Sus scrofa: one gene and its partner. The protein of the gene in region 2 binds, or shares a complex with, the protein of the main gene of each other region. Links are inferred from orthologs where the notes say so. Each region holds a gene or a part of one and is shown on either strand. Other genes may lie near its edges.

What was found.
Region 1: the proteins of SIN3A (region 2) and SAP25 are in contact, whole or in part, in an NMR structure (PDB 2RMS), measured with the Mus musculus proteins. The link is inferred for Sus scrofa from reciprocal best matches to the Homo sapiens genes SIN3A and SAP25. Residues at the interface, in NP_001103821.1 of Mus musculus: Leu121, Lys122, Val123, Ala126, Leu127, Leu130, Tyr144, Phe147, Leu148, Met151, Lys152, Phe154, Lys155, Thr161, Val164, Phe182, Phe185, Leu186, Pro187; in NP_001075431.2 of Mus musculus: Ala208, Glu209, Ile211, Ala212, Leu213, Ala214, Gly215, Leu216, Leu217, Gln218, Met219, Ser220, Glu223.

Annotation. Positions count from the first base shown.
Region 1 is NC_010445.4:8,494,158-8,504,532, reverse strand, and holds SAP25 (histone deacetylase complex subunit SAP25), read left to right. Parts: upstream 1-4,118; 5' UTR 4,119-5,577; coding exon 5,578-5,711; intron 5,712-5,913; coding exon 5,914-6,014; intron 6,015-6,103; coding exon 6,104-6,210; intron 6,211-6,303; coding exon 6,304-6,451; intron 6,452-6,530; coding exon 6,531-6,628; intron 6,629-6,711; coding exon 6,712-7,005; 3' UTR 7,006-7,084; downstream 7,085-10,375. Other genes in the region: LRCH4 (leucine-rich repeat and calponin homology domain-containing protein 4), read left to right, coding at 443-579, 722-837, 971-1,070, 1,315-1,405, 1,493-1,569, 1,678-1,739, 1,844-1,972, 2,103-2,171 and 5 more; insulin receptor substrate 1-like, read right to left, coding at 7,975-9,218, 9,297-9,702. UniProt on the Homo sapiens protein: Involved in the transcriptional repression mediated by the mSIN3A but not the N-CoR corepressor complex.
Region 2 is NC_010449.5:58,210,291-58,219,934, reverse strand, and holds part of SIN3A (paired amphipathic helix protein Sin3a), read right to left. Parts: coding exon 9,548-9,644; intron 7,301-9,547; coding exon 7,211-7,300; intron 4,680-7,210; coding exon 4,561-4,679; intron 3,985-4,560; coding exon 3,774-3,984; intron 3,445-3,773; coding exon 3,328-3,444; intron 369-3,327; coding exon 130-368; intron 1-129. UniProt on the Homo sapiens protein: Acts as a transcriptional repressor. Corepressor for REST. Interacts with MXI1 to repress MYC responsive genes and antagonize MYC oncogenic activities. Also interacts with MXD1-MAX heterodimers to repress transcription by tethering SIN3A to DNA.

The DNA of each region.
Region 1 (10,375 bases), on a different chromosome or scaffold from region 2:
GCAACGCGGGATCCGAGCCGCGTCTGCAACCTACACCACAGCTCACGGCAACGCCGGATCCTTAACCCACTGAGCAAGGGCAGGGACCGAACCCACAACCTCATGATTCCTAGTCGGATTCGTTAACCACTGCGCCACGACGGGAACTCCTCTGGAAGGCTTTTGAGCAAGGCGGTGTCCCAGTTTGGTTTGGGCCTTGTGACGGTCACTTGAGAAGGAGGAAGGCTGCAGGGTGGAATGGAGTGGGCGGTGGGGGGGGCAGCACCTGGGATGGGCAGCAGCTGAACTCGCTTTGAGCGGGAAGAAGAGCAGGGAGGTGGTTCCTGGGACGTGAGGCTTGGTGGCCCCAGGGGTGACCGGCTGGTCAGAGCAGGGGGCAGAGGCAGTGAGCACAAAGCCCACCCCTGGGCATGCTCCTGACTCTCCCCTCACCCACCCCCAGAGCTGGGGGACCTTCCTCTTGTCCGCCTGGATTTCTCCTGTAACCGTGTCTCCCGCATCCCGGTCTCCTTCTGCCGCCTCAGGCACCTGCAGGTCATTCTGCTGGACAGCAACCCCCTGCAAAGCCCACCTGCTCAGGTGAGGGGTGGCCTGGGCTGGGCCATGCGGACAGGGCTGAGAATGGGCAGAAGTTGGGGCGTCGGTCCCTTCGGTAGCCAAGCAGGATCTGGGGAGCACCCTCCTGTCCCCTAACTACCCCTCCATGTGCCTCCACACCTAGGTCTGCCTGAAGGGGAAACTTCACATCTTCAAGTATTTGTCAACGGAGGCTGGGCGGCGCGGGGGGTCTGCACTGGGAGACCTGGCCCCTTCCCGCCCCCCGAGTTTCAGTCCCTGGTAAGTTTCAAGTGGGAAGGAAGGAAGCCCCTGGATACTTAACCCCTTCCTGGCAGGGACCCCATGGAGGGCAGGTTGGGAGGTTGCTGCCCAGCCCACAGTAGGGCTGAGCAGCTCTCGCTGCTGACCCCAGCCCAGCTGAGGACTTGTTTCCGGGACGTCGGTACGACGGTGGGCTGGACTCAGGCTTCCACAGCGTTGACAGTGGCAGCAAGAGGTGGTCTGGAAATGAGGTAAAGGCCTTCTTTCCCTGGACACTGGGCATCTCCACCCTGGGGGGAGCCTCTGAGCTGGGACCCTTTGCCTGCTGCCTCTAAATCTCAGAGTGACAGCTGGTGGCTGGAGCTGTCGTCTTCCTTCCCTCGCCCTTGTATCTCTGGGAAGGGCTGGCTCAGGAGCAGAGCCTGAGGCCCTGAGCACTGGGAGCCCCCAACCCCAGAGAGCCTGTCTCCCTTCTGTGCATCTCTGCATTTACAGTCGACGGATGAGTTTTCTGAGCTGTCGTTCCGGATCTCGGAGCTGGCCCGGGAGCCTCGGGGACCCAGGGAGCGGAGGGAGGATGGCTCTGGTGAGTTGTGGGGTTAGGCTGGGGGCTCGGGGGAATGGATGAGGGCCTAAAGGCCCCCATCTGCTGGCTGACCTGCCCTCTCTCCAGCCGACGGAGACCCCGAGCAGATTGACTTCATCGACAGCCACGTCCCTGGGGAGGAGGAAGATCGAGGTGCTGGCGAGGTGAGGGCTGCCTGCTTTCACGTGTGTGTCCGCCACCAGCGGGCTGCAGGGAGGGCACTAGAGCAGGCTCGAGGGACCCCCTCAGCCCCTCTGCTGTTATTCCTTCAGGAGCAGCGGCCACCAGAATCGAGCCCCGTGGCAGGGGACAGGGAGAGGGCGCCAAGCAGCAGGTACCCAGAGCTGCCTGAGCCTGCACCTCCTCCCTTTACCCCATCACCCGCACCTCTGCCCTCCCTGGACCCGGCTCTACCTCTCCTCTGCCTTTGCCCCTCAGGCGGGAGGAGCCTGCAGGGGAGGAGCGCCGGCGCCCAGACACCTTGCAGTTGTGGCAGGAGCGTGAGCGGCGGCAGCAGCAGCAGCAGCAGCAGCAGAGTGGGGTGTGGGGGGCCCCCAGGAAGGACAGGTGCGGGCCTGGGGGTGACTGCCGGGCGGTGGGCTCTGGGAGTAAGCCCTCCTGAGCTTCTCTGCCAGTCAGGGTTGGCGGGGCCCCTGCCTGGCACTACTCACCCCACATGTCCTCCTCCATTTTCCAGTTTTCTGAAGTTGGGAGTCAGGGCTGCTGGTGGGGGTGCTGCTGCCTCATCCGCTCAGGCCACCTACAAGTATGTGTCCTCCTGGACTCCCCCCCTCCCCCCACTCCATCCTGTCCCTTCACACCCCTCCCCTGACTCCCCCCTCTCATTCTCCTTCTGTTTCTCCTCAGCAGCACACCTAAGCCCAGTGCCCCCCAGCAGGGAGCTTCAGGGGGGCAGGGAGCCCCTGCCCCCACTCCGGCTTCCACCTGCCAGGAGCCCCTTCCTGTAGCTGAACCAGGTGGGACAGGGGCTTTGGGAAGAGGGAGACCTGGTGGCCTGAGAGGGAGTAGGACCCTGCGGGGATGTTTCTCTCACCTGCCCCTGCCCCCTGGCTCTGGCCCCCAGCAACCGCCCCGGCTCCCCGGCCGCTCGGCTCCATCCAGAGACCAAACAGCTTCCTCTTCCGTTCTTCTTCTCAGAGTGGCTCAGGTGGGTCTTCCCCCGCCCCAGTACTAACCCAGTGCTAATCCAGTACTAACCCAGTACTAAGCCATGGGCTGGGGTCATCCCTTCTGCTGGCCTGGGAGTTCTCTGCTCAGTTGCCCTTTCTTTTTTTTTTTGCTTTCTAGGGCCTCACCCGCAGCATATGGAGGTTCCTAGGCTAGGGATCCAATGGGAGCTACAACAGCCGGCCTATACTAGAGCCACAGCAACAGGGGATCTGAGCCACGTCTGCGACCTACACCACAGCTCACAGCAACTCCGGATTCTTAACCCACTGAGCGAGGCCAAAGATCGAACCCACAAACCTCATGGTTCCTAGTCGGATTCGTTTCCACTGCGCCACCATGGGAACTCCTCAGTTGCCTTTTTGTGTTGCAAATCCCATGAGCACAGAGGCAGGAGATGTGGGTGCCAGACACTGCGAACTGGCTACAAGGTGGGTGGAGGCCAGTGGAGACAGCCCCACACCTTCCTCTTTCTCCAGGCCCTTCCTCACCAGACTCTGTCCTGAGACCTCGGCGATCCCCTCAGCTGTTGGACGAAAAGGAGGTGATGGCTCAGCTGCGCCAGGTATGAGAGGCGGGGTCTGCGTGGGGCCTGGGCTTCCCTCGACATCCTCTCCGCCCACCCTGGTACTTCCGCGGAAGATGGAAGGGACGGGAGGGGGTTCCCTGCTGACCCTGACCTCTCTCCCGGCTCCCCCTGCCTCCCAGGTCCTTGAGTCACGGCTGCAGCGGCCCCTGCCCGAGGACCTGGCCGAGGCTCTGGCCAGTGGGGTCATCCTCTGTCAGCTGGCCAACCAGCTGCGGCCGCGGTCTGTGCCCTTCATTCACGTGCCCTCGCCTGCTGTGGTCAGTTGGGGCCCAGGACAGGAAGTAGGGGTTGGGACGGGGGACTCCTGTGGCTTCTCCCTTACTTTTTTTTTCTTCCTTACCCACCCCCAGCCAAAACTCAGTGCCCTCAAGTCTCGGAAGAATGTGGAGAGTTTCTTAGAAGCCTGTCGAAAAATGGGGGTGCCTGAGGTATGGGGGTGTGTTCTCAGGAGCCCAGGGCTGGTCTCTGCTCTAAAGAGTGCCGTGTCCTGGGCTCAGCTGAGCACTCTGCATGGACGGCGGGACTGCATTCCTGGGGGGTGTCTGCTCCCCAGAAGGAAGCACGTCCCCCAGCCCCGAGCCTGCATGTGTCCCCTGCGTGCCCCCCTTCCCTGCACTCTGCATGTTGGCGTGGCTCTGGCCCTGGCACGTGAGGGCAGGGGGTGGGAAGGATCGTCGTGCTGCTGCTGCTGACGTGTGTCCTTTGTCCTTGTCCATCTGTCCTACTCTCCCTTCCCAGGCTGACCTGTGCTCGCCCTCGGACCTCCTCCAGGGCACCGCCCAGGGGCTGTGGACCACCCTGGAGGCCGTGAAGCGGGTGGGGGGCAGGCCTCCCCCACCCCTCTGGCCTCCCTCTGGTCTGGGCGGCTTCATCTTCTTCTACGTCGTCCTCATGCTGCTGCTCTGTGTCGTCTACACTCGGCTCCTGGGTTCTTAGGACCTGAAGTCACCCCTGCCCTTACCCCCTCGCCCTGTTTCTATTTATAAGACTCCCGTGGGAGCCCCATCCCCACCGGTGGTGCCTTCAGCCCCTACCAAAGACACTAGTGAGCCCCCTCCCCTCAGAAACACTGACCTCAGAGGCCCCACTCTGGTGCCCCCAGACCCTGGGCCCGCAGCCTCTGGCCCGCCTCCTGTAGCCCCTCCCCTCTCAGCGCTGACGGTGCCTTCGAGCCTCTCCCTGCCCTGCCCTCTGCTTCCCCAGAGGGTGGATCCTAATCTCCCCCCCCCCGCTAGGGGGGGCTAAATTATCTATATTTTGTAGAGAGAACTCTATATTTGTAGGGGATGAGGGGCCCAGGCTGGGTCCCTGTCTCTTGTATAAATTGTACAGACTGTGGCCACCTGTGTGTGTGTGTGTGTGTGTGTATGTGTATGTGTGTTTGCGTCTGCTCCCTCTGTGCCTGGGCCCAGCCCTGGCCGTGTCCCTTGGGCTCCATGTGCCAGCCTGCCTACTCCAGCATTTCCCTCTGGAAATGTCAGGTCTCTCCTTCCCTCTGAGCCTTGGCCCCCTGTGTCATCTTCCTTCTGTCACCCACTGGCAGCTTCCTTGCATCTCATTTGTCCTCAAGCCATGTCCAGGGTGCCCCTGACCTTTGTCCCCTACATGCTGTCAGCCGCCTTTGCCCAGGCTCCTCCAGGGTGCCTTCCACCCTACAGCCGAGAGGAGGAGGTGACAAGAACTTAACCTGGCCCCTCCCTCCAGGAGTCCCTGTGCCAGCCCCACCACATCCTGGAGGAGGAGGGGGCTCCGGGAAGGGGCCTCCCCTACATCGCTGCTGTCGTCCACGCACTGCTGGAACGGCCTTAGGGGTTGAGGTCGGGGGTGCAGGGCCGCGACCCGGCCAGGACCCCAGGAACAGAAGACAGACACGCCTGGGCTCTGCTCTCTAGCGAGGACTGGTGAGGGCGGCCTCGGGCCTGGCCCTGTTCCTCGGGCACTTCGGCCTGAGAGATTGGAAGCCGGCCCAGCAAGGCGCGTGGTCACCTCTGGGTGCGGCCGTGGGTCTGGGATGGCAGGAGGGCCCTGAATATTGTGTCAAGTGCAATAAAGAGAGGCCAGAAGCCATCTAGGTTGCCCCTCGGGGGGTGTGTGTGTATGTGTGTGTGTCTGCGAACGAAAGCTGGGTCGCCCGCATCTCCACTGGGCGCCACAGGTCCCCCGCCGCCAGGGGGCGCCCACGGGATCCCGGCGGGAGCGCGCGCCACGTGGCCCGGAAACGCGCTGGGCGCCGGCGTCGCGAGGCCCTGAGAGGTGGGCCGACCTGGGCTCGCGGGGACCGGGACGCTTAGGGCTCCGCTGGCCGCTAAGGGAGGTAGAGCCCGAGTGGGTTCCAGGAGCGGCCAGGCGGGCGGAGGGCGCGGAGGTGCTGCCCAGCCCTGCACCCAGACGGGGCATGTTGCCCTGGACCCCCCGGCGGTGGGGCGCGGGCGGGGAGCCGGCGCCCGAGGAACAAGGCCCCTGGATGGGCAGTAACCCCGGCCAGACCTGGGACTCTGGAGAGGAGCCGGAAACACCACCACAGGACAGGTGAGGGGCTTGGCTGGCGGCTCTTGGGGGAAACAGGAGCCCACAATGTGAGAAAATCTCAGTGTCCCTGCTGAAGAATGGGTGTGAGCCTTCTCCCCGCCCTGGGCACCCTTGGGCCTGCCTTGGAAATAACTCAGATTTGGAGCAGGGAGGTGACTGGGAGAGGCTGTGACTGGAGCATCTCAGTACCACCCCCTCTCAGCCCTCAGCCCAGGTCCCTAAGGCCTTCCTGGACCTGGAAAGAGCAGCTGCTGCCTTGGAGGCCCCCATGCTTGGCTGCAGAGCGGTCCTCGGGAACCCCAGGTAGGTTTAAGGTCCTGCCATTTTTTCTCCTAAGACGCTTTTACCGATTCCTGAGCCTGTCTTAATTGCTTCAAGTCCCCTCCCCCCAGGTCCTCTCTCCCCCGAGATGACCTGGGAGGTGGCCCCATCAAGGATGACCTTGCTAACACCTTGGGACCCCAACTATGAGGCTCAAGCAGAACCACGGCAGGTGTGGGTGAGTTGGGGGTACCTGCGGCTCTGGCCTCGGGTGGGGCAGGGCTGCCTTGGGATGGGGCTGAAGCTGCAGGAACCTCACCTGTCTCTCCAGGGACCCAGCTGTGCATCTGGTGCCTCCTTCTCAGGCCGGACTTTGTGTCATCCGTCATTCTGGCCCCTGTATGAGGCAGTCTCAGGCAGAGGCCTCAGGCCGGGTCTGACAGGACATTGGAGCCGAGAGCAGGTGCCGAGGGATGCAGGTACTGCCCTTGGTCCCCTCAGCTCTGCAGGGAACCGGAGCAGAGCTTGCTGCCCTAGTAGCTTCTTTCTCCTCCCCAGGGCTCCCTGTGATGTCCTGTGAAGATGTCTTTCTTTCAGACCCTCTTCTGCCTTGTGGGCAGCGTGTTCCCCTATACCTGTCCGAGCCCCCTCAGCAGGTGAGCGCTCTTCCTGCCCTGGCCTCACCCCAGCGCTCACCGCAGGGCTTGGGAAGAGACACTTGCCCCTCCTCTCTCCTCAGGTGATGGGCTCTCTGAAGCTGCTGCTCCCACCCCCGATCATGTCCCCCTGGGTGCTCCCCACTCCATCCTCTGGCTGTCCCACCGCCTGGCTCAGTGGGCCCGAGCTGATCGCCCTCACCGGTCTCCTGCAGATGAGCCAGGGGGAGCCGAGGCCCAGCTTCTCCGGGGCTCCCCCGCCCCCTCCCGGCCCCCCAGACCTCGTCTCTGACCACCCGGGTGCCAGTGGTGCCCAAAGCTGTTCTCACTGCACTGACCCATCTCTCCCACGAACCCCAGACACCCATGGTCCATAGCCTCTCTGGGGGCAGAGTGGGCCCCCTACTTCCCCAGGCAGGTTCTGTTGACAATAAAACAGTGTTGGTTTGCAGACAAGTTCCTCGTGGTAGATAGCAGAGTGGGTTGTGGAGGCAGGGATGGGGTCCCCTCCTCCACCACGGTTTTGGCTGCCCTCCCCACCCCCTCCAGGGCGGGGGAATCCATGGACCTAAGATCTTTCCAGCTGACCAAGCAGGGAACCTTTAATGTCGGGGGCGGGGTGGGGAGTCTAGTCTCTTAGACTAATTATATAGGAAGCAAGGACTCCATCAGCTCTGCCAGCTCTGGGAGCAGGGAGGATCGTGAGCACAGAGCTGGCGTTGGGAGAGGGAAACTAGGGAGTAAGGGGGTGCCTCACTTTGGGGAGGCCCTAGTGTAGGACTCCTGGTGCTCTGGGGCCCCAGGAGTTCAGCCCTGAGGCTGGACGTGTGTGTATGTCTCGGGGGTGGTTCTTTGGCTCCAAAGATACACCAGGCCAGCCCTGCGGGCCTGCGGGGGAGGGGCAGGGGCAGGTCCAGGTCCATATCTTCCGCAGCCGAGGCCGGGGCAGGGGCCTGACTTAAGGCTCTGGAGTGATGCTGCGGGGCCTCTGGGGGAAACAGGATCAGGGCTTTGGCTGAGAATGTCCAGAAATCTGTGAGGTTGTGGAGGTTTTGGGGGTTTGTTTTCAAGGGGAGGGAGAGTTCTAGAATTTTCTCCCTTAAAAGAATCCAGCTTCTTGGGGAACCTCCTCCCAAAGATTTCCCAGGCGGCACAGCTGAAAGGGGCGGAGTGGGCACCAGGCCCCAAGAAGCAGCTTAGCAAGCCTCTGCGGGTCACACCTCCTAGGGGACATCTCTGCTTTAGAGCCTCTCCGTCTCAGGGAAGGGGTCTGTGGGGTTGAGGGGCGTGGGCAGGAAAGCACTCTTAACTTTGCCCTGTTTTCTCCCGCCGTCTCCGTCTGTCAGTTAAACCAGACGGGGTTGCCAGGGTCTCCTCCCTCGGGCCTCCCCAGAGTTCTGGAACTCTATGCGGGCGTAGCTGTGCGGGCCGTGCCTGGCCCCGGGGGCGTTGCCTCCCGCCTCCAGGGGAGGGACCAGGTCCAGGTCGACGTAGTTGAGGCAGCTGGCGGGGGTTTCGGGTGTGGCTACGTGGTCCGAGTACTCGATGCACACGTACTCCCCGGCCAGCTCTGACGGCGGCTGCAAGCAGGGCTGAGCCCCTGTGGGGCCCCAGCTGCCTCCGACGCGCAGAGGAGGGCTTTGGAGCCCCGTTTCAGGCTCCCCGGCCCCAGGCCTGTAGGAACCGGGCAAAGAGCTCAAGAAAAGGGACCGTGGTGCACAGCGGCTCATGGACACGTATTCAGAGTGCCCGCCATCCAGAGGTGGCTGATGGGGAGCGGCTTTGGCCGAGGCAGGGAGGCCCAGGGGCGCCATCACCACGTAGCTGCTGGCTTGCCCGTCTCCCATGGGCACGTAGTCTCTCCTGGCTCCCATGGTTATGTAGCCCCCGCCCCGCCCCAACCCCTCAGGCTGTGAGGCCGCTGCCCCCAGCATCGCCAGCGTCTTAGGGGTTGCTTGCTCGCTCCTCTCACTAGGGCACCCCAGACGGTTCAGGCTGCCTGACTGAGCCGCAGAGGCTGGGGTCTCAGAGGGTCTGGGGGCCCTCGTCGGGGGCTTTCTTGGCAGTGGCTCAGTCCTGCCACTAGCACCAGTGTCCCCGATTCGCTTCATGGCGGCCAGGACAGTCTCGTGAATGCTTTGGGCCATCACAGCATCGGGCGCCTGTAGCCACAGCTCCCCGGGACCTGTGGGTGCTGAGCGCCCGAGCTCCAGGAAGAAGAAAGAGTCTGCGTGACCACAGCGGCGCACGCTGAGCAGGGACAGGCGCAGGGCTGGGGGCGGAGGTGCCTGGGTGGCCCTGGAGCTTCTGCCCCTGGGCTTCCGCAGCAGGCTCAGTACCCCGGAACCCAGGCACAAGCAGTAGCCGCCGCTGCCCAGGCCTCGTGTCTGCCCCAGCCCCTTGGGCCGCAGCGTCACGGGCCAGATGTCCTGAAACGGAGCGAGCATCCAGGCCTCGGGGTCCTCGTGGGAGCTGGGCCCTGGAGAGACAACAGGCGGGTCACAGAGCTTCTGGGCCGGGAGCTTGGAGTCAGTGTGCCCCGGGGACTGACAACGCGTAAACGCTTCATTTTGGATTGGATTTCGGAGACCTGGGGGAGGGACAGCCTACGGATAAGCCAAATCCACGATCACCCCCCCCACCCTCCCACCCTGGGCTTGGGCCTCACCGGCGGCGGCGCGCGCCTCAAGCAGGGCGCTGTACCACGCCTGCTGCTCCGCCTCGCTGGCCGCCGCCACGCCCAGGCTGCGGTCGGCGGTGAAGAGGAAGATCAGGTGGCGCTGGCGCGCGTCCACGCGCTTGCTGATGGTGCACGCGCCCGTCAGGCTCACGCTGAGCTTGGGAGCCGCTCGGCCGGCGTGGAACTTCTTCTCGCTCTCGTAACACTCGAGGCGCGGCGGGTCCGCGCGGAGCACGAAGAAGCGGCGGTGCTGGGACTTGTGCTTCCGAAGGTGGCCGCAGAGCCGCACGTCAGCCGGGCAGGCCCAGGGCGACAGCGGACCCAGGGCCACGTCGGCCGACTCAGACTCCGGGGCCGTCGTGGGGCTGCCGCCGCCGCCGCCTCTGGGCTTCATCCTGGGCCAAAGGCGACCAAGTGGCCGGAGCAGGAGCGGAGACGGCTGGGAAGAGGCTCGCCGAGGTGGGGTTCTAGAGGTAGCGGTCCCGGGGGAGGGGGCAGCGTCCTGACAGGCTGCCACTGCCTTAATGCCCGGCGTCTCTCTCCCCCGCTCCCGACTTGAAGTTTGGGGCAGGGGGTCTGCAGTGGCCCCTCGCTGCGCGCAGCGTGTGACCCAGTGACTGCTCGACGGCCTGAGACACCCGAGGCTCCGCCGGGCTCGGAGCCTCAACCCAGTGGCCTCCCGCCGCCTCCTCTCCCCTCCCTCCCAACGCCGACTGCGCCCAAGTCCCCACCCCCGCGAGGTTAACCCTCACGCGCCCCGGAGCTGGACTCCGCGCGGTGGGCGTGGAGTTTGAGTTGCCGAGTGCGGGAGAGGCGGCCTCGGCCTGGGCTGGTGCCGGGGCGGGGAGGTGTTGGGGGCGTCTCTTCTGACCCGACCTGAGCGCGGAGAAAGCTGTGAGGTGAAGAGAGTGTGCGTGGAGCTACGTCCGTGGTGACCGCTGGCGGCCTCGTCCGCAGTCCTGGAGGTAAGGGGGCTGCTAAGCCGGCTGCCTTTACAGCGGGACCCCCTTCCGGCTCTAGGCCGCCAGCACCCGTGTCCCCTGCCTCCCCGGTCCCGCTCAGAATGG
Region 2 (9,644 bases):
TTCCAACAACAGCCTTGAGGACAAATGGAGATCTCATGGGATAACCAAGTTGAAAAGGAGAATCTTAATTAATGGGATGCTAAATCCGTCAAGGACACTAAAGCATGAAGGGCGTATTTGCTCGGGTACCTTTTAAGGACAATTGGGACGGCAATGGAGGGGTTCTTTCTCAGACCATCAATGATGTCAGCTGCTTTATCAGCATATATCCTCTGGAGTGCTTTTCGATGGATAACTTCCGATGTGCCCCCAAGGGTGTTGTCCAAGCGAAATTTGGCTTGTTCCTCAGCAGACAAGCGGGAAAGCTTCTTCTGTATTGCTTCCAGAACCCGGATGGTTGCCAGATTGGTCTCTAATACTACATCAAGCTAAAGAAAAAATACAGGGTGTACTTAAGACCCAAACCAGAAAAGAGCTGTCAGGAGTATGGGTAGAAGTCAAACTCTATGGATCTGAATCCTCGCTCGGCCACGCTAAAGCCATATAAAACACTGTTTCCTTATCGGTACAACCGGGATAACACCACCTACTCTCACAAGGTTGTTTACTGAATAGAGGGGTTAGCACAATGCTAGACACACAAGAAACATCCAATAAATGATCACTAAGTGATAGTTAATATTTCTTCCACCACCAGTATGCTTTTTTTCTGGCCCTCACACCAGACCTACCTAATGGAGGAGGCAACCTGACTGACACTTTCCCTGAACTTTCATGAATTACTAAGTTCTGTTACCAACAATAACAACCACAACAACAAAATTCCAAAAAGATCACTCAAGATGATAAACCAGTCTTACGAGTAAGATTTTTCAGGGTAACTTGAAATACATGATTAAATATTTAATAGTCTCATTCTACATCCAGTAGTAATAAGAACTGTGACTATCATTCCTTAAGTGCTTCAGATTTTTCAGGGTAACTTGAAATACATGATTAAATATTTAATAGTCTCATTCCACATCCAGTAGTAATAAGAACTGTGACTATCATTCCTTAAGTGTTGGAGCTGCGGGTAACCATTTGAACTCTTACTGAATTTCTCGTACTTTACTTTCTGGCAAGGACCTAGCCCAGCCTGGTTAAGGATATACACGACTAGCAAACTTTTTTTTTGCTTTTTAGGGCTGCACTTGTGGCATATGGAAGTTCCCAGGCTACAGACTGAATTGGAGCTGCAGCTGCTGACCTACACCATAGCCACGGCAAGGCCAGATCTGAGCTGCACCTACCATCTACACTGCAGCTCACAGCAACACCGGATCCTTAACCAATGAGTGAGGCCAGGGATTGAAACTGCATCCTCATGGATACCAGTCATGTCCATTATTGCTAACCCACAATGGGAACGCCACAACTTTTTAACACAAAATTCTCTAGATGAGACACAGAAAATGAAGTAAGTGAGCATTCTAAAGAGCATATAACCAAATGTCTGAGTGTTGCTAAGTTCTCTAGTTTCAGGACTACAGTAGTCATTTCGTCAAATATTTCTGGTCCTCCTTTTCCAGTTATGGATAAATGATGGATTGAACTTCTTGGCTCCTTTGTGATTAGAGAGGGCCATGTAACTAGTTCGGGAAAATGAGTTGTAAACAGGTTAGTGGAAGTAATATCTGTTCTAGGCCTGAGGATTTCAGGGGGCAAGATCCATCTGAGCTTTTTTCCCCCCTAATCACTGGTGTTGTTCAAGATGGTGGCATTTTGTCAGCCTAGGTCCCCAAGTAATTCTGATGAGCAGAATCTCCTGCTAAACATCAATGCACATGTAGTATGATGAAGAAGTAAATCTGTTTTTTCAAGCCACTGAGATTTGGAGGTTGTCTGCACTGCAAGAATATTAACCTATGCTGATATATAAAGGAATGCTCCTTCACTAGTCCATCCCATCCAATCCTAAGCACATGCATGCATACATACATGCATACATACATGTTTCTTTCATCTTCACTCCTATAATCACAAATGGGAAATGAGGCTGTTGCCTCTCATTTGCAGGCATACCAACTGAGAAGAGGAATATTCTATCAAGAACAATGCCAATCTCTGCTTCCTAACTCATCACCTGACCTTGCAAAACATAGGTAAAAAAGAAATACTTTAGCTTGATAAAAACTTTCTATAGAAGCTAATATCTGTCACGATTGAGTATTCTGCAAATGGGTGACGCTCCTCATAAACGCTGGGGCAGAGATTGGCCGAGTGCCTGCCGTGGTGAAGCAACATGTGGCTCTTCGTTCAAAACATGCCAGAAACAGACGAAGCAAGCGTGAAGGGAGATTAACTGGCAGAGAGCTAAATCAGTATGGATTAAAAAAGTAGCAAAACATCTCCCATCTACAGGAATGAGCAGGGCCAGTTTTATATAATACATACATTAAATAGGATGCCTGTAATTTCACCTCTTTAGACACATTTATCATTCTCTTTTTGTTGTTGTCAGTGAACTAGACATTTAAACACACTAGGGAGTGAGTCCACTTTCAGTACCCCCACTCCTGGTATAGGGGGCTCTCTACCAGCTCATTTCTTCACTCCAGCTCTTTCCTTCCCAACTACTTTGAAATACAGTACCTAACTCAACTTTCTTTCAGAAGGAGCCACATCAGTATCAGAAATATGAGAGAAGAGCTCTAGCTCTCACTGGAGAGTTGGTTTGCTAACCATGTCATGATACCTGCTAAGAATAACACTCTAAGATAAATCATTTTTTGTTGTTGTTATTTTAGGGCCGCACTTGTGGCATGAGGAGGTTCCCAGGTTAGGGGTCGAATCAGAGCTGTAGCCACCAGGCTACACCACAGCCACAGCAATGCAGGATCCAAGCCACATCTATGACCTACACCACAGCTCATGGCAACGCCGGATCCTTAATCCACTGAGCAAGGCCAGGGGTCGAACCCACGTCCTCATGGATCCTAGTCGGGTTCACGAACCACTGAGCCATGAAGGGAACTCCTCTAAGATAAATAATTTAAAACAGCTGCAAAGAAAGCCCACAAGGTCTTAAAATACTCATTTTATATACCATGTAAAACACAATAACCTTCACGCCATTAAAAATTCAAAGAAGTATTATTCAGCCATCAATGGTTAAATTCAGCTAAAAAGGTTAAAGTGGCCTAGATAAATCACATTTGTCATAAAGATATCACTAAGATAATTGACAAAGTCATAAAACATGGTTAAGTACAATCACAACAGAAGAATGTGAGCCTCTCTGGTTCTTTGGTCTTAAGAGCCAACCCTCCCAGGTAGGTATTTAAGATACCCTCTCATTTCATATCTCCCATTTCCCCAAACTTCAAATGATGAAGAAGCTTGTACCTCAAAGCGTTCATCTTCACAACGATAGATATGTTCTTCATACTGAGTTTTCTTGGAACTAACAAAGGTGGAGTCCTCAGACCAGGAGGGGAAGGAGACCCAGGTATCATTTAAAACCTTTGGGTAAAAGAAGAGAAATTGAAACAAAAGTGTAACAAAGCTTTCTGGTGGATGATTAAGCATTCTTAGTAAAAAGAAAATTTTAGAAGGAAGAAACAGTTAACATTACAAGTTTCACCTATGGCAAGTTTGCAAAAGCTATTAACAGAAAAAGGTTCTCAATGTAAGTGTGAAACATTTTCTCAGGAAAAAAAAAAAAAAAAAAAAAAGGAGAGAGAAAGGAGTTTTGACTTCCTCATTCATATCAATTCTCCATCCCTGGTACCACAATCCCTTCTGGAGGAAGTTAAGGAATCAGGGCTAATCTTTTCTTGGGAAGGCCTTACCTCTTTACAAAGAGGAGTCCGTCCTGTGCACTTGGGCTGCTGATAACTCTTTGGTAGGGCTCGATAGCTGGAGCCCAACCGCTTACAAGAGGCATAGTCTATCTCCATAGCAATGCCCTCTGTGGCTCGTTCCTTTGGAAAGGTTTCCAGATGTACAGATTCCTTATAGCCCAGAAAGTTTTTAAACCAATTAAACAATTCTGGGAATTTCCTGAAGAATCAAATAAAAAATTGTTAACTATAAACATGATGCAGTTATACTGAGGTGTGATTACCACTATTTGGTGTTGGGTCAGAACTCTGCTACCACTGGACAAATTCCAATAATAAATATTATTTCCTGCCTAAGAAGCACTACTCTTCTGAATATGTGGTTTCTCCTTTTCTTCTCTTTCTCTAAAGATCAGTTAAGGTAGTGATGGAAGAACTGCACTGAAACTAGACAATAACGAGCCATTCTTCTAATCAAGATTATTGCTTCAATGTTCAGATAATTCTTAATTTGTCAAAGCCAGGATTCTATAACCCTGGAAAAGACTGGCTTTATAAACAGCCAATACCGGTCAGGAGATCAGGAGACCATAGTCTTGGCCAATGCCTTCTTCGCCTACTTTTTTGTCTCCAGAGAGGAACTAGAAGACTTCCCAGAGGACTCTTGTCATGGACATTTTAGGAGTCAACTGACCTGCCAAAATCAAATTAATTTCACCTACCATGTACTCCCACAAACTAGGTTTTATTTCACCTCCATATCAGGCATCAAGGCTAAGCCCTTGATTCCACTTACCCCAGGAAAGGAGAGACTAACTGCACAAGCTCAGCCCGAGAGATCACCTCCTGGTTAAAAATAACAAGACAGCGCAGGAAATTTTCATAGGCCTCTGTACTCCGCAGAGCCTTTCGGACCTTATGGAGACAATCGAAAGGAAAAATAGTTAAGTGGGGAATCAAGAGATCCTGGATTGTGTTTAAAATTGGGGAAATTTGAACTGCTATTTGATGATATTAAGGAATCAATGCTAGGTTTTTTAGATGCGATAATGTTTGGAAAAAAGGTATCATTTTAAAAGAAACCTAGTAAAATACCTACAGTTGAAATAATATATCATGTGGGATTTGTCTCCAAATAATCTGGGATAGCTGTGTGCACATCAAATAGTACACCGACTAGGAGCTAAGAACTGCTGAGGCTGGATGATGGGTATATGAAGGGTCATTTTACTATTCTCTTTAATTTCACATTTGTTTTAAATTTTCCATAAAAATTTGGAAAATGAGACCTTGAAGTAAACAAGACATTTACATTTTTACATGCTTGATTTTCCACACCCTATCAGAGTTACCCAAGATTCTGCTGCCTCTCCTGACTTTATACAAGAATCTTTATAAACACTCTTTTCAAACTCTGGTAATCTTGAATAATGACCTTTTAAAATAAGGTACTTTTGTCCTCTGACTTGATCTTTTCCCTTCCTCCATTCAGAACACTAATAAGCATTTTAATATCCAAAAACCTAGGTGTTCAGGAAGTTTCCATGTGGCACAGTGGGTTAAGGATCCAGTACTGGCCACAGTTATGGTACAGGTTGCAACAGCAGTATGGGTTTGATCCCTAGCCTGGAGACTTCCACACACCAGGTGTGGCCAAAAAAAAAAAAAAAGGTTCAGTGGCATAGACACAGTAAAACTTGCCTGGCTAGATAAGCAATCTAGAGTTTCAATGTCAAAAGTGTATATATCTAGCACTGTGGGGATTGCAGACCCTCACTCACCAAACCCGGTAGTTTATCAAAAAACCCCTTCCCCAGGCTCTCATATACTTTTCATAACTATCAATCGGTAGACACTATATGGAATATGGATTTTCAAGGCAAAAGATGAATATATACTATTACTTTAATTTGTTAGCTTTTATTATTAATTTTACTTAATATATATTTTTAAATTTTTTAATTAGCTGTTTTGATTTCTTCCATTTTCAATTTCTGCAAACCCATGCCCAGATAAATCACTGGGTGAAAACATAACGAAATTTATTTTATTTATTTTTTTGTCTTTTTAAGGCCGCATCCACGGCATATGGAGGTTCCCAGGCTAGGGGTCAAATGGGAGCTGTAGCTGCTGGCCTACACCACAGCCACAACAACACCAGATCTGAGCCATGTCTGCAACCTACACCATAGCTCAGGGCAACACCGGATCCTTAACCCATCGAGCAAGGCCAGGGATCAAACCTGCGTCCTCATGGATACTAGTCAGATTAGTTTCTGTTGAGCCACGGCGGAAATTCCTCTGTTAGTTTTAAACTTATACAAAAGTAGACAGAATAGTCTAATAAACCCTATATACTGAGCCAGCCTCAACAATCAATACACAGTAAATTTTGTTTCATCTACACCCATTTCCCCCACCACTGAATTCTAAAGCAAACTCCAGACTTTTCAGCTATACACACTTCAGTCATCTCTAAGAAACAAGTACTTCAAAAACAGCAATAAAAAATACTACTCTTTAAAAAAATTAACTTATTCAGTCCCCCTCTCTTACCCTTTCTTTGCCATTTGTCAGTTGTGACCTGGACTTCACATCTGCCTCAAAAGCCCCAAAGGCCCAGAGAGCCCTCAGAAATGGTTCAGGTCAAAGCTAGAGCCAGGGACTATTTTGCAGCACAGCTCGCATAGGCACAGGAGGGCTAGAGACAAATCGAGAGGCACCAATTCTGGAGATAATCATTTGCCCTTCGGCAAAAACCCAAGGATGCAAGACACGGTAAGTCACCACCAGATCAATCCAGGCTGGCTCCAGCCAGTGAGAAGTCTGAAGTTTGCTAGCCACTATGATAAAAGTAGCCTGCTAATTAAACTGACTCCAAGGAGGAAGTCAGACTCACACACCACACAACACTGACTACACCTGTAATCGCAACCCTGTCTGCTCATTAGAATCACCTGGGGAGCTTTGAAAACATACAAGGAAATCAGAATTCCCATTAACCCTATATGCCATACCTCGAACAAGTATAACAATTAGAAGGTTACAAGTCATCTTAAGTCCTCAATAATTAGTATACTGACACTCCTCACTATATAGTTCTGGGCATCTACAATGAGGAGCTCCAAACATCTTTTGAGAGCAATATGCCTTTTTTAAAAGCTTTCTTCCATGATGGCAAATGCTATATTTTGCTTCAAACTACTTCACAAAACCCAAGCAGTCAATGCTACCATTTCTCTAGCTGTGCTAATAGTTCTCATAGACTGAAAGGACCTACAATTTGGAAACTGTTAAAAAGTAGAAAATCCTTAAAAAAAAAAAAAAAAAAAAAAAAAGTCCTACCTAATTATCTTGATGTCTCTAAAACAAAATCTTTTGGGGGACGAGGTTATTTTCTTTGGGCATTAAGAGCTGATATTAAATCCAATTCATTCAACACTCACCTTATCAAAAAATAACGATTCCGTTCCTACACCATGCTTGCTGGCATCTGCCATAGAAGAATCCTTGAGACTGAGCAGTTTGGGTTTCTTCTGCAAAAAAAAGGAAGAATACAGGACAGACACATAAGATTCAAAGAAGTTTTCTGAGTTTCGTTTTCATCTCTGTTTGATAGTTCCATCACTAATCCGCCACTGATTAGTAATTTGCAACAAATAAGAGAATCCAAGTCACTAACTTGCCTTACATCCTGAAAGATTTCCACTCTTTTCTATTTCAGATTGCCGTCGGTTTTTTCCTAGAGGTTCACAGATCATTCTACTCCCCAAATACTCTCTATAAATGGTCACAGCACTACTATGATGTTAGAATTAATATCCTTACTTTTTCCATAGGCAAAAAAATTTAGAACCTAATGCCAATGCCTTGTCTTCTTAGCTGTGGAGGCAGAAAAGTTTTTAAAAAGAGCTGGAGTACATAGAAATCAATCTTTAACCTTCACCTTTTAATCAGTTTGAAAATTCACGAAAAAAGCAGTATATTTTCCTATTAGAAGGAATAATTACCTTGCTGGCAGAAGCCACTCAAACCAGAGTTAAGACTGCTCTTTCAAATCAAATGAATAGGCCATGATATAACTACCAAGCAAAAAATTTACTTTAAAAAAGCCACCTCTAAACTACATGTCAAGAAATGCACAAACTTTGGGAGAAGCTGCACATTAACCTCCGCCACCTTGGAGAACACTCTCTCGCAGGAGCCACAGCCTCTACTTATATTGCCTAAGGAGAAGGCAGATAGGGAATTCTAACCTCCCAATATAGTGTTTCCACCTGTGGGTCATCAAGTGTGGGAGGAGACCAAGATTGAAGCATGTCTCCTGACCTGTTCTTACTACTCATAAAACACTCCTTACTAAAGTGAGGAAATATAAACTACTGCTATGTTCAACTTGCTTCCAAAAGGAGAAACTATTAAAAACATTGAAAAATAGTTCTTCAAAGTGTCAGCAATCCATAACAGGTCAGTCTTTGCGGTCATTTGCTGGTTTATCAGTCCTTTTTTTTTTTTTGCTTCTTAGGGCCACACCTGAGGTACATGGAAATTCCCAGGCTAGGGGTGGAATCAGAGCTACAGCTGCTGGCTTGCGCCTCAGCAATTCACAATCTGAGCTGCGTCTGTGACCTACACCACAGCTCACAGCAATGTCAGATCCTTAACCCACTGAGCAAGACCAGGGACTGAACTCAATGATACCAGTCAGGTTCATAACCTGCTGAACTGCAACAAGAACTCCCTCGGTCATTTCTTACCGTAAGAAGTTACACTAGCTTTTATTCTTTAATTAAATTCTGCGGACACATCTATCTCTTCAATGCTATATGTTAGAATTCAACATTCAATACATACACCTAGTCTGCTCCCTAGCACAGGTGCCCCATATTAAAGAGAAAGGGAGTGGGCTCAGCTTTTTGCAGGCAGACCATCAGTATTGGCTGTAACAAGAAGCATCATGAGATAGGTCACTAAGAGGAGTTTAAGACCACCCTGTTACAGCCCAAAGTTCCTCCTTGGAGATTAAGATGATACAGGTAAGATGTGGCAACCCAAAAGAACCTTGAGCAGGATAGGTCTCTAAACCGAAGAAGAGATCCCACAAAGCATATGCACTTTACTCACAAAAGAACCTCAGAGACCACTGACTTATTTTGGGAACAATTATCGAACTTAATAATCTTACTTAGCACAAAGCAGGCTTAAGGCATCAAATCAAGAAGGGAAAAATTAAGTCTCAGAAACCCTTGGCAGAAACAAACAAAAAATAGATGAGAGTTAACCACAAAGAAGAGAGAAAACATACGGAAAACCATTAAGAACTCAAAAAAGCACAGTAATCTGAACAATTAGCAGTATTCTGGGAGTTCCCATTGTGGTACAATGATATCAAATCTGACTAGTCACCCCATGAGGATGCGGGTTCCATCCTTGGCCTTGCTCAGTGGGTTGGGGATCCAGCATTGCCGTGAGCTGTGGTGTATGTGGCAGACTGCAGCTTGGATCCCGCACTGCTAGTGTAGGCCAGCAGCTGTAACTCTGATTCTCAACCCCTAGCCTGGGAACTGGGAACTTTCATATGCCGTGGGTATGGACCTAAAAAAAAACAAAACAAAAGCAAAGCAGTATTCTAACATTCTTTCACAAGGCCAGGTAAAAAGTTTTGCATTGAGTTCTGAGACATAAACCAACTCTGAATATCAGGATCTAACTGTCAAACCTTGAGCACGTGCCCACTAGAATCGTTCCAGGAAGTCGAAATAAGCAGCTGCACCCACTCTCACCTTCACTGGAGGGGTGGCTCCTGTTCCAGAGTGTCTGCGGATCTGGCAGCCATTCTGGCTGGGCCTCTGTGGCTTGTTGTTTAGTTGAGGCTTCTTT